Linked DNA regions of Diceros bicornis minor. The protein of the gene in region 1 interacts with the protein of each later gene in a pairwise test. Links are inferred from orthologs where the notes say so. Each region holds a gene or a part of one and is shown on either strand. Other genes may lie near its edges.

Region 1 (7,379 bases):
ATGACTCCAAAGTTTGTAGCCTCAGCTGGAAGAATGCAGTTGCCATTTCATGAAATAGGGAAGATCTGATTGGGATTTGTTTGGGGGGAAAAATTAGAGTTTGGTTTTGGATACATTAAGTTTGTGAAGCCTGTTAGACAGTCAAGCAGTGCTATAGAGTAGGCAGTTCAGTGTTAAGTCCAGTATTTAGGGAAAAGGTGTGGGCTGAAGACTCAAATGTGGGTTTCACTTGGCTGGAGATCTGGATGGGACTGCCTAGGGAAAGAGAGTAGAGAGAGGAGAAGCAGTCCAAGTTGTGAGATTTGAATCCTGGGGCACTCCAGCATTTAGAGGGGGGAAACTGAGAAGGAACCAGCAAGGGGAGTAAGGAACAGCCATTTAGGAAGGAAGAGAAGCAAGAGTGAAATACAGAATGGAATCCTGGCAGGCAAGATAAGGAGCTTCAGGAAGGAGAGAGTAAGTCATCAGCTGTTTCAAATGCTGCTGACAGGTGAAGTGAGATGAAGACTGAGGGAAAAAAATGGATTTGAGAACATGGAGGCTAATGACGATTTTGAGCAATTTCAGTGGAATGTCAGGATCAAGTCTGATTTGTAGGTTCAAGAGAGTAGAAGTGGAGATGAAGTTTTTCTATACAGGAGAGCAGATCAGAGTAATGGGGCAGCATTTGGAGGGAGATACAAGTCAAGATTTTTTTTTTTTTGAAGATGGTAGCTATTAACACCTGTTTATGGGGCTGGCCCCATGGCTAAACTCAGCACGCTCCACTTCAGCAGCCCTGGTTCTGTTCCCAGGCACAGACCTACACTACTCGTCAGCAGTCACGCTGTGGCAGCAACCCACATACAAAACAGAGGAAGACTGGCACAGATGTTAGCCCAGGGTGAATCTACCTCAAGCAGAAACAGGAAGGTTGGCAACAGATGTTAGCTCAGGGTGAATCTTCCTCAGCAAAAATAAAAATATCAACACGTTTATAAGTTGACAAAAGTGATCCAGCTGAGAGGGGAAAAATTCATAAGGAAACTGGACAATTCCAAGAGTAAAATGGAACTCAATGCAAAAGGGGCAAGTTTGGTCTTAGATGGGAATTTTGACAGTTTATCTACAGTTACTGGTGTAGCAGGGTATTCAGATGCAGGAAGATTGGCAAGTGCCACAGTGAGAACTACTACTGATTTCTGTTTTCTTAGATAAGAAGCAAGATAATGATTTACTAGAGAGGAGTGGGATGTACAGTCAGGTTTAAAAGATGTTAAATAGTTGTTTAAGAAGGCGGGATAAACGGATTAGGGAAATTAGCCTGAGGGGGTCAGGAACACAAGGAGCTCACTTCAGAGTGCAGATGTGTTTTTCTCCAACCAAGTTCAATAGCTCTGCTGCAGGCATACAGTGAATTAACAAGGGTTCTGATTTAGGCACGTACAACAAAGGAAGAAGGAGGAACGCACTGAAGATACCTGCAGAGGAGGGTTTATAACAACAGATAATGCAGTCTAAGGTAGGCAATGAATCTTTAAAAAATGGGTATAGCATTCAGATGTGCCTTTTAGTAAATAGTCGATTCTCATTATTTGAGGTAGTTATGTTCTATAAAGTTACCATGAACCCTGAACTGCTCCTGGGGGAAATGCAGGGTTCAGTTCCCAAGAGACTCTGGTCACAACATTTTCATCAATACATAATGTGTTTCATGTGTTTCTGTTTAGACACCTTGTTTAATATATATTGTTGATTCATTAATACTGAACTCATTATGGCCAAGAGCACTAATGATAAGTCTGAAGGTAGCTTATCTAGGACAGTGTTTTCTCTGCAAGGCACATCACAGCCTTCTTGTGCTTAGGAATATCAGACAGCACTTCAGCACTATGCTTGGGGGCACTTAAAACAGCAAAACCACCAATAAATAGCACAAAAATGTGAGAAACATGATGATATGTATATTGTGAAAAGCACATCTGTCCACAGTATGAGAGCTGAAATAAGGCAGCAGAGTGTCCCCTTGCTTAACCTCAGCTGGACACATGCATGTCAGACAAGTTAAATTTTCTGTCACTCTGCGCATGTCCATGAACGCTGCACATACTGATTTTCAGGGTACAAATAAATTTTAGTAAGTAGGCGAATTCGCAAATATGGAATCTGTGAAGAATGAGGACTGAATGTACACTGCTTGGAACTGTTTCCTCCATAGCTAAGCCCAGTCTGCTGCTTTTAATCAAATAGTATACATCAATTTCAGTAGACGTCTGATTATCAAACAAAACAAATGTTGCTGTTAGTTGTCAAAAAGTTTCTACATTGATATATTATTTTCTATACTCTTCTAAGCTGGTGTCTCTTGTTTTCAATGTATTTGTTAGAAAAATGTTAGAAATTGCACATAAGACTCGAGGTTTTTTTTTTTCCCCTCATTTCACTCACTGGCAGTTTTTCCTGAGTTACCGACAGCTTACCGGCATGAAGTAGGCTTTTACTGGTCCTCACAAACCGCAATAATTTTAGTATTCAGCAGGCAGCTGTGACAAATAAGGGTATGTAATTCTTTCTTTCAAGCAGTTGTAACGTCAGGGTCTTTTTCCTCACATCATTCCATTTCTTCATTAGGCCCAACAACAAGATAACTTGTTGGATACCAAATAAATCAATTAGTTTTTGATATTGTCTTTTGGAGGGATCTTATTTGTGATGTTTCCTATTATACCTTTTTATTCTGTGTAAACAGTTGTATATTTATGTTTATTACAATCCTTTTAATTAAATTAATGTTGCCTTACAAGGAGTTTAGAGCAGAAAAAAAAAATTACCGGATTACTGCCACTCTCAAGTAAAGCTTCATTTTCTGGCAGACTTGACCTGTTCCCTCCCATTATGCCAGCGTTGCTACTGGGCCTGCAGCAGGACGGAAAATTCAATTTGCAGCCATTTCGTGGAGCACCCCCCATGCCTTTATTCACATGCAGAACTTCCAGAGGAATTTCACCAAAAGGCTCCAGCGAGGAAGAAGAACTAAAAGAGAGAAAAACGAGAAATAAAGGAGAGGGTGGGGAGGGCACGACTGGCGGTGGAAGATACTGAATGTGGAGGAGGCGATTGGTTCAGCATTTTCTCCCAGCAACCCATCCCCCTAAGGCCCCAGGCCCACCCGAGGTTCTACTTCACGGCCCGGAGCGGCGCCCTCCTCACTCTAGAATCTTCCCTCAGCGCGCAGACACCCGGCCTCCCTGCAGTCTCGAGACCCCCCCCCCCCCGTCGTCTCCCCTCCTCGGAAAGCTCGCTCTCCCGACGTTCCGGGGAGTGACTTACTGCCAACTGCCCTCGCCGGGCTCCGAGCAGCCCCCGCCCGCCGAAGGCCGGCCGCGCGCGCGGCGGCAGGGTGGGGGCAGGCGCCCAGGCCCCGGTTCCGGCTCCATGAGGGGCCCGGGGGAACGGTGGGCCCCCCGCCTCCCTGAAGCGGCTGCCGTCGCAGCAAACCGAGAGAGCTCCTTGACAGCCGTCCGCCCGCCGCTTGACCGGGGGCTGCCGACCACCCGGCCAGCGCCCGAAGGGGCGGGCACCCTTCCACCCCCGCGCCGCTGGGCGCACGCGCAGCAGCCGCCGCCTCCCTATTTAGTCCGCGATGGCTTCTCTCGCGCCCCACCGTCCTCCTCCTGAAGGCGGCTCCCTCCCCGCGCACCGCAGGGCCCCTGGGACCGGCCTCGAGCAGGTCCCCGAGCAGGACTATCCCTAAAAGGGAACGGCGCTGGCCGGACGTCGCGTGAGGAAAAGAAGCGGCAACCGGAAAGAGCTGACGGGTCGCGAGGAGGCGAAACAGGCCTCAGAGGAAGAGGAAGGCCGGGGCGAACCGAGGTTTGCCGAAGGCGGCGTTCCGGAGCTGCGCGGGGCGGGGAGAGAGGCAGAGGCTGGGAGAGGAGGGGCGCGGCGGAAACTGCCGAGGTTTGCCGAAGGCCGCAGCGGCCGAGTTGCCCGGATGTAGTTGGTGGAGCGGCAGCGGCGGCACCAGCAGCGGCGGTGGCGGCGGCGGCAGGAGGAGGAGGAGGAGAAGGACCAGGCAGCGGCGGCGGCGGGGGGAGGAGGGGAGGCGGCGGCGGAGCAGGAGGAGAAGGCGGAGGAGGCAGTCGCTCTCCGCGGGGCCGAGCCGGACGCGTCTTCTTGGCCCCCTCCCCCCGGTTCGCCGCTGCCGCCGTGTAGTTGGCGCCGCTGCCCGGGCTGAGTGTGAGCGTGGTGCGACCGCAGGGAGATGGCCCGGGAGCGCCGGCGCCAGTAACGGGGAGGTGCTGAGAGTCGCCGAGGGCGCGCCGGGCCCTGGTGCCGGTGCTGCCGCCCGCCCGCCCGCCGCCTGCGCGCCCGCCCGCCCCTCGCGGCCGCTCTCCGCCCCCCGACACACACTCACAGGCCGGGCATTGATGGTAATGTATGCGAGGAAACAGCAGAGACTCAGTGATGGGTAAATCGTCTTTTCCTTTCCGGCCGGGCCGCAGCGGGCGGGGGGCGGCGGCGGGGGGGCTGTTCCTCCTGAGCTGGTGCTGCCGCGCCGCCATTTTTGTTGTTAAGCCTGCTCGGGATCGGGCGGGGAGGAGGAGCCGCCGCGCGAGCGGGCGAGCACGGGCGGGTGCGGAGGGAGCGCGGGCCGGGGCGCGGGGCTTCGCCCTCTCGGGGCCGCCTGAGGCTGCGTGTGTGCGCGCGCGCGTGTGGGCTGGTCGCCGGTCCGCTCGGGAGGTCTCCCGCGGGGAGGGGCGGGGGGGGCGCGTTTTCTTCCTCTCCCCGAGATGTCTCATGTCGCTGCCTCTCTTCCTGTTTTTCAGCTGTCACGACCGGAGGGGGGACTCGCAGCCTTACCAGGTACCAGCCGAGCCCGGGGTGGGGGGTGGATGGGGGGACGGAGGGGGAAGGGAGGAACTGCTACTCGAGCGCAGGCTTCAGAAGTCGCTACAGGCCCTTCTGTGCAACAGATCCCAAACTAGCACCGCGGGGCCCCTGAAAATCGTGTGTTGGGTTCCCTGAGCGCTCTCCAGCGAGCGTTAGTGACTTGTTTTGACAGGTGACTGGAGGAAGTTCAGTTTTTTTAGAAAAAAATCATTCTCGGCCAGAAAAGACCTGACTTGATTATTTGGGCTTGAAGGAATCGGTGGGATGAGGTGCCTTCTGAACCATATTTATTTATTGTAGTGGGGAACTAAAAGTTAACGTAAAGATATTAAAATTAGAACTAAAAGTTAATGTAAAGGTATTAAGATTAAATGAAAGGTCTGGGAAGAAACAGCTAATTGATTCGCAACTCTTAAGTGTGTTGTAAACCCCTATCGCTTCCCGTTTTGTTTTTGGTGCAAATAATTGCCTGACTAGTGGAAGAGTGCTTTTGTTTCTGAAAGAATTGAGATCTTTGGATACTTAGACAACTCATTCTAATGTAGACAGTGCTAGGTATGTTGGTTCCTTTTTTTACAGCAGTTGCTGTGTGGAAAGTTTTTAAAAATTGTGTGGAAGTGGTCCTTTTTTTCAGGAGGAAAAACTTCATAAATGGTTGGTAACTATCAGATGACACCAGAAGTAAATACTTTCTACATCTGATCACTTAAAGGAAAGGAGAGTAGGTTTCTAAGCTGACAGTTTTGTTACTGGCTACCGTGAGTTGTTAAAGCTCAAGTTAAAAACCTTACGTCCCCTGATAACGTCAAAAACATTGTTTGTTACATTTGGATAGTCAAAAATTAAACGCTGTTGAATCTGCCCCTCTAGAACATAATTAATTATATGCTGTAAAAGACTGGTATATCATAGTTGTCTTAAATATGTTTTAGAATGAAACTAAAATCATTGTGAAGGGAGTTCCATTATGTTTTGTTAGAAATATCACACAACATTTTTATACCTTAAAATTGTATCCCACATCTGCAAGAGTTGGTTAGTTAGGTTTGAAGTGCTGTATTTGAATCAAAGAATTGGAGAGACTGATGCTTTTATTTTTTGTAGGTTTGCAGAAACATGCTTATGCTTACTTTTACTTGTAGTTGTAGAGCAGAGATAGCTTACAGTAGTACTGTTTGTACTTTTCTTTAAATTAAATTTTTTAGTTCCCAGAAAAATTTATTGAGGAATTAATGTACAGAGGTGTCTGATTTCTTGTATTTACGAGATACTTAATGGAGTGGATTTTTTTTCTTTTATTTTTTCTCTTTTACATAGGGTATTATGATTTGTGTGAGGAGTCTTATAGTAACTCTTAGGCATTTAAGACTTGTTTGACTAACTTAAAGGCAGAATTGAAAGTGGAAATTTTAATTTTATTGATATAAATTTATGAAACAATAAATTTAATAACATCAAATTTTATGATAAAATTAATTTAGGAAGTTAAGTTTAAAGTTTCAATTCTTTCTCTCTTCTTTTTGGGGGGGTGATGTTTTACAGGCACTTAAATATTCATCGAAGAGTCACCCCAGTAGCGGTGATCACAGACATGAAAAAATGCGAGACGCCGCAGATCCTTCACCACCAAATAAAATGTTGCGGAGATCTGATAGTCCTGAAAACAAATATAGTGACAGCACAGGTCACAGTAAGGCCAAAAATGTGCATATTCACAGAGTTAGAGAGAGGGATGGTGGTGAGTAGCTTTTTTGTTGAAACTTTCATGTATGTTTATTTTTCACAATAGCTCTATGTAAAACAATAGATAAACAAGGGGGTGGTAATATTTCCAGCTTGTGGACATTACCATATGGTTATGTCATCAAAATAATTTTATTTTTATCAACTTATTTGATTCCTAAGCAAGTTACTGTAGAAGTAAGGTGCTGACCTGAGGATCTGAAAATGGACTTCACTGGTTGATAATTAGAGAATGCATTGATGAATATAGTCTACCAAATTCTTTATTAAGGAGAGAAATGTACAGGACATTTTTCCAAGAAAGGAGCTTTAATCTTTTCAAATAAAGGTTTCAGTTTATTTGGCTTAGTTTATTTTGAGATCCTTGTTGCTACTTGAATTTATTTTTTAAGGAGTTCAAGTGTGTTTCCTAAGGATAAATTATGCAGTTAAAAACTTAGTATGAAAAAAAAACTTAGTATGTTTTTTGAGACAGTTCACAGGTTTAAAAAAAAAATTTGTGATTCAGAAAATTCCTTTTCGGTTTTTGTTGTAAACGTTTAAAATATTCTGTATTCTCCAGGGTCTTGTGAATAACCTAACTTCTATACCATGTTCATTGAAGTATTGAACTTTTTAAAAGTTAGCCTTTTGTGCAGTGCTGTGACTCTTCAGTTACCTTGCCTCAAGCTCTTTGTGGTACGAGGCTGAGAAAAAGTAAATAAAAATAAACTCAAAACTATTTTTAAACTTAATTTGCCCAAAATGTACCAAAATATCAGATT
Region 2 (7,835 bases), on another chromosome or scaffold:
TACACAAACAAATACAAAACAAAAAAGCTTTTACTTCAAAAATAAGCACAGGGGCCTGCCCAGTGGCACAAGCGGTTAGGTGCGCGCACTCCGCTTCGGCGGCCCAGGGGTCGCTGGTTTGGATCCCGGGCGCGCACCAGCGCACTGCTTGTCAAGCCATGCTGTGGCAGCGTCCCATGTAAAGTGGAAGAGGATGGGCATGGATGTTGGCCCAGAGCCGGTCTTCCTCAGCAAAAAGAGGAGGATTGGCAGATGTTAGCTCAGGGCCGCTCTTCCTCACAAAAAAAAAAAATAAATAAGCTCTTAAGTAGAAAACAGCAATAAAAATACTTGCCTGTTCACAAGGACCAGGGCTTGCTAAAGAGTGCCTAAAATGTCAAGGAACTTCAAGTCAGCAGTACTGACTACAAGGACACCTGCTCTTGCAACCAACAGGGAGGCGGCCAGAGTCCTGAACCTCCAGCCCACTTGACCCCAGGGGCGTGGAGAGGCCTCTCTGCTCCTCTTCATCTCAGCCTTGCTCTCTCCTAAGCTCTTCTCTCTTGGTCCATCTCTCCACATGTCCCTTCTCCTTCTCTCATCTATTTCTGCCCACCAATCCACTTCTTTACTGGCCAAATCTTTTGCAGAATATTATTGTATCTTCCACTCCCAATACAATGCTTAGGGTTCGATGCACAGTGGATTGCTTCATATGGTCAACATGATACAGTTAGAGAAATGTGTGATTTCCAGTACTGTCAAATTTTATCTAAGTAAGTTAAAGTAGAAGGGTGAAAGAAAGTTAAGTATCTCCACCTTTGTGATGTAATTGTCTTGGGGAAGGAGAACTGATAGACGGGGGACACACACCAGCTACAGGAGCTGCAAGAGGAAGGGCAGCTCCTCACTCAAAGTTGGGACCACTGCAGCACACACTTGCCCACTTAGATGACTGACATCCAACTCCACACTTTGCAACTTCCCACAAGAAGAAGCCAAATGACTGAACAATGAAGACTCAGAAGCAGTCAAGTTTTCAACAGCCACATCCACCTAAGGTGCCTAATAGGCTTCTTTCCCTTTTTAACTATGTAGACTTGAGTCGAGACTCTAGAGTTAAGTACATGGTAGAACTAGAGGGGTGACTTACATTTAGTTCAGAAGCTCTCCATAAATTAGATTAGTGCAGAAGCCACTCTGGAACTTTCCTCTATCTAGTTTATACTCCATGACCTAGCCCTTCAACCACTCTTACCAACACATTCAGCTCCCCAGTCCTGCTACCCTAAACCTACTTCAGTCAAGGGTCTGCCTCTTCCACATCTTCACGCAGATATCTAGGCCTAAGTGGAGAAAAATCACATCATCACAAAGCCAAACCAAATGGCAACATTTTAAATGCTTGGTCTCCAACCATATCAGGGTACTCATTGCTACCAAGTAATGCTAAGGTTCCCTGGCCAACTCTCTCTGTCATGCTCCAAAGCTACCACTTCATACCTTCACCACTCTCCCCACACCTCCTACACTACCACCTCATTCTTGGAAGGTGATCATGGTCCTTACTTCATAAAGAACAGTCACACAGAAAACTGCTTTCAACTTTGTGCCACAAAACCTATAACCCACATGTACCTACACCATCCTCTCCTCTTTCCTTGAATCAAGAAATTCCCTTCTACCTGCCTAACCTATGTTCCAGACTCAATGTAGCTTTGCCTCCATGGACAGCTGACTCTAGAAATCATCCCCTCTATTTCTTAACATCAACTCCCTCTCCACTTCCACTCTGTTCCTAAAAAAAAAAAAAAAAAAAAAAAACTTCTTCCCTAAAAATCTCCTTGAAAGCATTATCTATACTCACCATCTCCCCTGCTGTACGCCCCCCACCCACACTGGCCAAGGTCACCAGTGGCCTTGAATGGGTACTGTGCAGTCCTGCTCTCACTCAACCAGCAATAGACATGGTTCACCACCAAGGTCTCACTGAGACGCTCTCTCCCCTTGGCTTCCACGAGGGCACACTCCTTGGTTTCCTCCTACCTCACTGCTGCTGCTTTTCCAGCAAAGAAGACATACATAGAGATGAAGATATAAGAAAGCCATACACTAAATAACCAGAGATGGGGAGTTTTTCAGCACTTGGGTTACACCAAACAGAGGTTGACACTGTTAATTCCAGTCACCTCTGAACTCTGTTACTTGTCTCACCTGCTGAAACATGAGCTCCTCTGCTCTGAGCCTCTCCATCATTTCCTGCTCCCTCAGAGCTAGTTCTCTTTCACGCTCCAAGTCGGCCATTTCCTTTTGTCTCTAGCATTGTTTAGAAACAATATCACGTGACTAATTCGAGACAAAATAATTTTGAAAGCATTTTAATTATCAACAATAGGGAAAGGGATAAGTAAATTATAGTCTATCCATTTGGAAATTGTATAATAATTTGGGGAAATGCATGTTTTATTCAAATAAAGAGCACAAAATTAAAATTATACATTGAATATGATCACAACTATGTAAAAATATCTATAGACAGATGTGTAGAAAATAGAGTAGAAGAAAATACCTAAAAATCTAAATAGAGGTCTTCTTTCGGTATTGTTTCCTTCTTCTACTTTTTCATCTTGTCCAAGTTTTTGTATAATAAACATAGTATTTTTATAACAGAAAGAAATAACAATATTGACCTTTTTTAAAAAGCAGACAAACCGAACCAATTATTTTACTCTTCTAATTTTCTAAAAGAAGATCTATACTTACCAGTTGCTCCATGGCCACGTTTTCCTTATACTTGCAAATCCACAATGCTAAATATTCTATTGGATCCACAGGGCGAATTCTTGCCACTTCTGCAAGACCTTGAGTTAGACACGTCCCCACGTACTTCTGAAGATATATCGACTCCATTTCTAACTCCTAACTTTTAAAGATAAATGTTTGTGAATTAATGCAGAACATTTTCAATTAAGGCACAATAAAAGTAGAGTCCGGTGAGGCCAACAAAGCATTACATCCTGTCACCAGTCAGGGGCACCTCCAATCAGGGATGGTACAAGCACGACGGCCCCAGGAAACTTCTAACGGTTTCCAAAAAGGCTCCACAGAAGTCACTACAACTAAAACAGTTTCCAAATCCTGATGGGCCCTCAAGTCCAGGAGTCAAAAAAAGAATACTGTCATTATTGATTGCAAGATGACCATATGCCAAGCAATGCCTGTCTCAACAATGCCTCACAACACACCTGAAATATGGGTGTCATCATCCCTCTGTGCAGGTGAGGAAGCCCAGCACAAAGAGCACAGGTGAACAGTCCACGATCACACAGGTGGCACACGGTGGAGGCAGGATTCACATGCAACTCCTGATTCCAGAGTCATGAACTTAATGACTGTACTAAGATGCTCCACCCAAGTCAGGAGAGTCATTTTTAGAAAATGTCACAATAGTCCACCTCAAAAAAAAAAAAAAAAAGTCCTTGAATCTGCAAGGCCAAAGAACAAAAAAAATTCAACCTTCCAAGAACAGCACCTAAAGCCCCTCACACTCTGGCTCCAGTTTTCTGTCCAGGCTCAGCTCCAGGCATCTCTTCAGCCCCCAGCATATCCTGGGCTCTAATTACACGGAAAATCCTGAAAATTCTGCCATTCTGCTGACCACACCTCGCACATTTGCATCTCCACGACTTTTGCACATGATGATCCCTCACAATCTCTCAAGTTGGCAAATATCTCCTCACCTGCAAGATGTAGATCATCTCTCATTCCCTGAGCTTTCTCAGGCAACATAAAAAAGTTCCTCCTTCCCCAAGCAGCTCACACAGCCCTTGTCACACTACCTGAGCACCGTCTGTACGCACGTCTGTCCTCCCACTAGAAGACAAGCTCCTCTAGCCCCTCAAGGAGGGTTTTAATCACAAGGCTGACACAGCTGGCTCTTTATGGTGGCAAGTGAGAGAGTTCCTCCACTCTCCCAGTAATGTCCCAGTCTATTCAGTTATGAAGATGGACAAGAATAATCTTAGACCAGACTTTTTTAAAAAAGAAATGTAGCAACCACTATATCTCAGGTTTAAAAAACTGATCACCCTCAAATTACCCTTATGGAATCCAGACTCCGATGAAATACAATCATTAACAAATATATAATGAGTACCTACTGTATGTCAGGCATGAGCAATTATTGGGGATACAATGCCAGTGTGTCCAGACCTGTCCCTGGACAAATGCACCTAACATTCTGCATAAAAGTTCAGAAACAATGACCTCCTGAGGTTCATCCATAGACCCCAATACTGCTCTCTCTCATACAATGGTGGTGAGAGTACAACATGACATAACTCCTTTGGAGGGAAATTTGACAATATCTAGAAAATTACATATGATTTACCCTTTGACCCATCAATCTCATTTCTGGGCTCCTATCTTGAAAAAATATGAAGTGATATATGCAAATGGTTATTTTGCACCATTGTTTAGAAAAACTAAAATGGAACCCCATCCCAATGTTCATCATTAGGGGACTGATGAAATACAGCAACACAATGGATTATTGCACGGATATATAATAATGAGAATGAGGAGAATCTCTAACACAGGGGGTGATCTCTAGGATATAGTGTGAAGTGGAAAAAGCAAGGTGCAGAAACTGTACATAGGATGCCATCTTCCGTGATAGCAACAGCAGCGGGGAAAGCAATGTCTACGTGTGTACACATAAATGTAGTCATAAAAACTCTCAAAGCTGAACGCTGGCACAAATGAACCTAATTCCCTATCAAGCTAGCATTGGTGTCTCAATGACATAGAGAAAAGAATTATTACAACTGAGTTTGCAACACAGTTATCTTCACTGTACTTCTTCACTGGGATATGCTCTAAAGACAAAAATAACTACACTGACATCTCAGTGTCATTAGAAGCGGAGTAACGTAAAAAATGAATAGCCTCCTGCTGCTCCAGAAAGATAACACATAGCAAGGGGATAATACAGAGGAAAGGGGAACCTCTGGCCCAGGAGTAGGGCCCCATCCAGGGTCCGTCTCAGACGCTGCATCCCATTATCAGCGGGATCCCGGGGAGGCTCCTTATCTCACCTGGCATGTTTCCTGTCCATGAAATGGTAATAATACCCATCTCACAAGATTGTTGTAAGGAATGTTATCCGTCATACACACCAACAGGCATCTTGGCTCAACATCAGTAAGCCTCTTCTCACAGAAACAAGCCTGGAGAAGCTGTCACAAGAAAGAGACGTCCCTGGCCCATTCTTGGGAGAAAGCTGGCCAGCCGAGTGGGAAAGGAGAGGATCTGGGTAGGGTTGCCAGATTTAGCAAATAAAAATACACGACGCCCAGTTAAACTTGAATTTCAGATAAATAACGAATGATCTATATTATACTATACTTGTACTACAAAGTTATTCCTTACTTATCTGAAACTCAAATTTAACTGGGCGTCCCGTATTTTATCCGGCAACCCTCGATTCGGGACGCTCAGCTTCCTTTTCCCATCTCGGGTCCGCGGAAGGAGGTCCGGCCCTCCAGCAGGCGCTGCGCCGCTCGCCCCCGAGGAGGAGGAAGAGGAACCGCCGACGCGCCCGCGGAGCCTCCGGCGCTGAACTGACCGCGGCCGGCTCCGGAACGTCGCCCGAGCGCCACACCACTCACCAGGTCCAACGGCCAAACCGGCCTGCGCCGCCAGAGCCCGGCCGAGCGCTAGGAACCCTTCTTCCCAACCCGCGCCTGCGTTCAGGAGGCCACGCCCGACGCGCGCACGCGCCCTCCTCCCGCGAGCCGCGTCCCGTCGCTAGGCAACGAGCACGCGCACCTCGGGTGCCAGAGATGCCCCCAGAGAGGAGAGGGCGCGCGGGCGGGTGAGCGGAGGGCGCCGAGGAGGGAGCCGAGGAGAGAACGTGCCCCCAGAGAGGAGGGGGCACGTGGGTGGATGAGCGGAGGGGGCCGAGGGGAGAACGCGCCTCAGCGAGGAGGGGTCGCGACAGAGAGGAGGGAGCAAGAGGGTGGGTGAGCAGAGACATGCAGCCTAGAGGCTGTGAGGAGGGGGCAACGGAAAAGAGGAATTGATGGGATGGTTAGGCCAGTGCGCACTGGGAAGGATAAAGGGGCAGCTGGCTCTTGGGAGCAACGTCAAAGAGCTACAGTCGGTGAAGGGCGGGACACCCTCACAGCCAGGGGCGGAGGAGACTGCCCCGAGTGCCCGATGGCCCGGTATTTTCACTACTCAGCACCTTTGCACTTGCTGGCGACCTCTGCTTGGTTCCTTTTAGAACCAACTCAGGTGGGCCCCCCGCCCCCCCCCAGATAGTTGTATGTCATAGCTGCACATCCTTCTAGTTGCTGTATGTGGGACGTGGCCTCAGCATGGCCAGAGAAGTGGTGTGTTGTTGTACACCTGGGATCTGAACCCCAGACCGCCAGCAGCCGAGCTAGCGCGCTTAACCGCTAAGCCACGGGGGGGGGGGGGGGGGGGGGGGGGGGGGGGGGGGGCTCTCCCATGTTCTGTTTTAATTTATGTGCCGGGCATTGCGGGGCAGGAGAAGCCTAGCTAGACATTGGTTGAGGTGGTGAGTGCCAGAGTGGGCACAGACAGGCGGAAAGGAGCAGGAGCTCTTGCCTCTGCTCACGAGCGGCAGAGTCTCCTCTGATTACATCAGGAATATTTATGGATCACCTAGGTCTGCCTGGCACTTGGAATATGGTGTGGACAAAGACAATCACCGTGCTTATTGCCCTACTTACTGAGTGCGAGCCTGTGAACAAGGAGGACCAGTGTAAGCAGACCTTCAGAGGAGGTCTGGGAAACTCCAAAAAATAGCCCCTTCCCCTTGTGAATGTGCCCTGAGTTTGTGGGGAGTGGCTGTAAAAGGCATCCCTTTGCCCCCTCCCTCTCCAGGCCTCAGGTTGTGGCTCTGTTATTCTGGCTCTACTGTCTTTGCATCCTCTAAGTAATTGTTAGGTCAGCATATTTCATGGAGGCCATTGTTGGAAATATGCAATTTAGAGCAGATGCTTTTTCCAGGAAGGGTTTGTGACACCTACACAGTGTGGCAGCCGCCCAAGGACTGGGAGTGGAGCGGCTTCCTTGGAATGCAGAGTTGGGGATTGCACCCCCTGGGAAGGGCAGTTCTACAGTGACAGAGGCAAAGTGGATCTGTAACTGTGAATCCCCCCCCCCCGGGGGGGTGGATTTTATTAAAATGCAGACTCTGAATCTGTAGCTCTGTGGTGGGACCTGAGAATCTGTGTTTCAGCAAGCCCCTAGGTGATGCGGTGCTGCTGATCATGGACCACACTTTGAGTAAAAGGGGTGGAGAAGGTTATCTGGGCACACTGGTTCAGCTGGGCCACAGATTGGCAGAAGGAGACATCACGCACCCCCATCCCCATCCTCCACCATTATCCCAAATTTAGTGGCTTTAAACACACTTTTATTCTCTTACAATTTCTGAAGGCAGAAATCCAAAATGAGTCTTACAGGGCTAAAACTAAAATGTCAGCAGGGCTGGTTCCTTCTGGAGGCTCTCGGGAAGAATCCATTTCCTTCCCTTTTCCAGCTTCTAGAGGCCACCACACTCCTTGGCTCATGGCTCTGAACCACATCACCTTTTCTCCCTCTTCTTCTGTCATCACATCTCCCTCTTCTCTGTCTGACTTTACTGTGTCCCTCTTATAAAGACCCTTGTGATTGATTACATTGTTCCTACCTGGATAGTCCAGTATAATCTCCTCAAATGAAAATCCTTAATCACATCTGCAAAGTCCGTTGTGTTGTATAAATTAACATATTTCATGAGTTCCAAGTGTTAGGACTTAGACACCTTTGGGAGCCCTTATTCA

The links. The genes of interacting proteins can lie anywhere in the genome.
Region 2: the proteins of WAC (region 1) and DYDC1 interact in binary tests that used the Homo sapiens proteins (3 or more experiments, as listed by UniProt). The two-hybrid records come from large-scale screens. The link is inferred for Diceros bicornis minor from reciprocal best matches to the Homo sapiens genes WAC and DYDC1.

The regions. Positions count from the first base shown.
Region 1 is NC_080775.1:27,439,706-27,447,084, forward strand, and holds the start of WAC (WW domain-containing adapter protein with coiled-coil), read left to right. Parts: upstream 1-4,370; 5' UTR 4,371-4,400; coding exon of another isoform or gene 4,401-4,407; 5' UTR 4,408-4,409; coding exon 4,410-4,450; intron 4,451-4,808; coding exon 4,809-4,844; coding exon of another isoform or gene 4,845-4,845; intron 4,846-6,395; coding exon 6,396-6,610; intron 6,611-7,379. Other genes in the region: uncharacterized protein LOC131398901, read right to left, coding at 2,811-3,012, 3,782-4,370, 4,401-4,407.
Region 2 is NC_080745.1:5,133,788-5,141,622, forward strand, and holds the start of DYDC1 (DPY30 domain-containing protein 1), read right to left. Parts: upstream 3,022-7,835; 5' UTR 2,890-3,021; coding exon 2,743-2,889; intron 2,296-2,742; coding exon 2,194-2,295; intron 1-2,193. UniProt on the Homo sapiens protein: Functions as part of axonemal radial spoke complexes that play an important part in the motility of sperm and cilia. Plays a crucial role during acrosome biogenesis.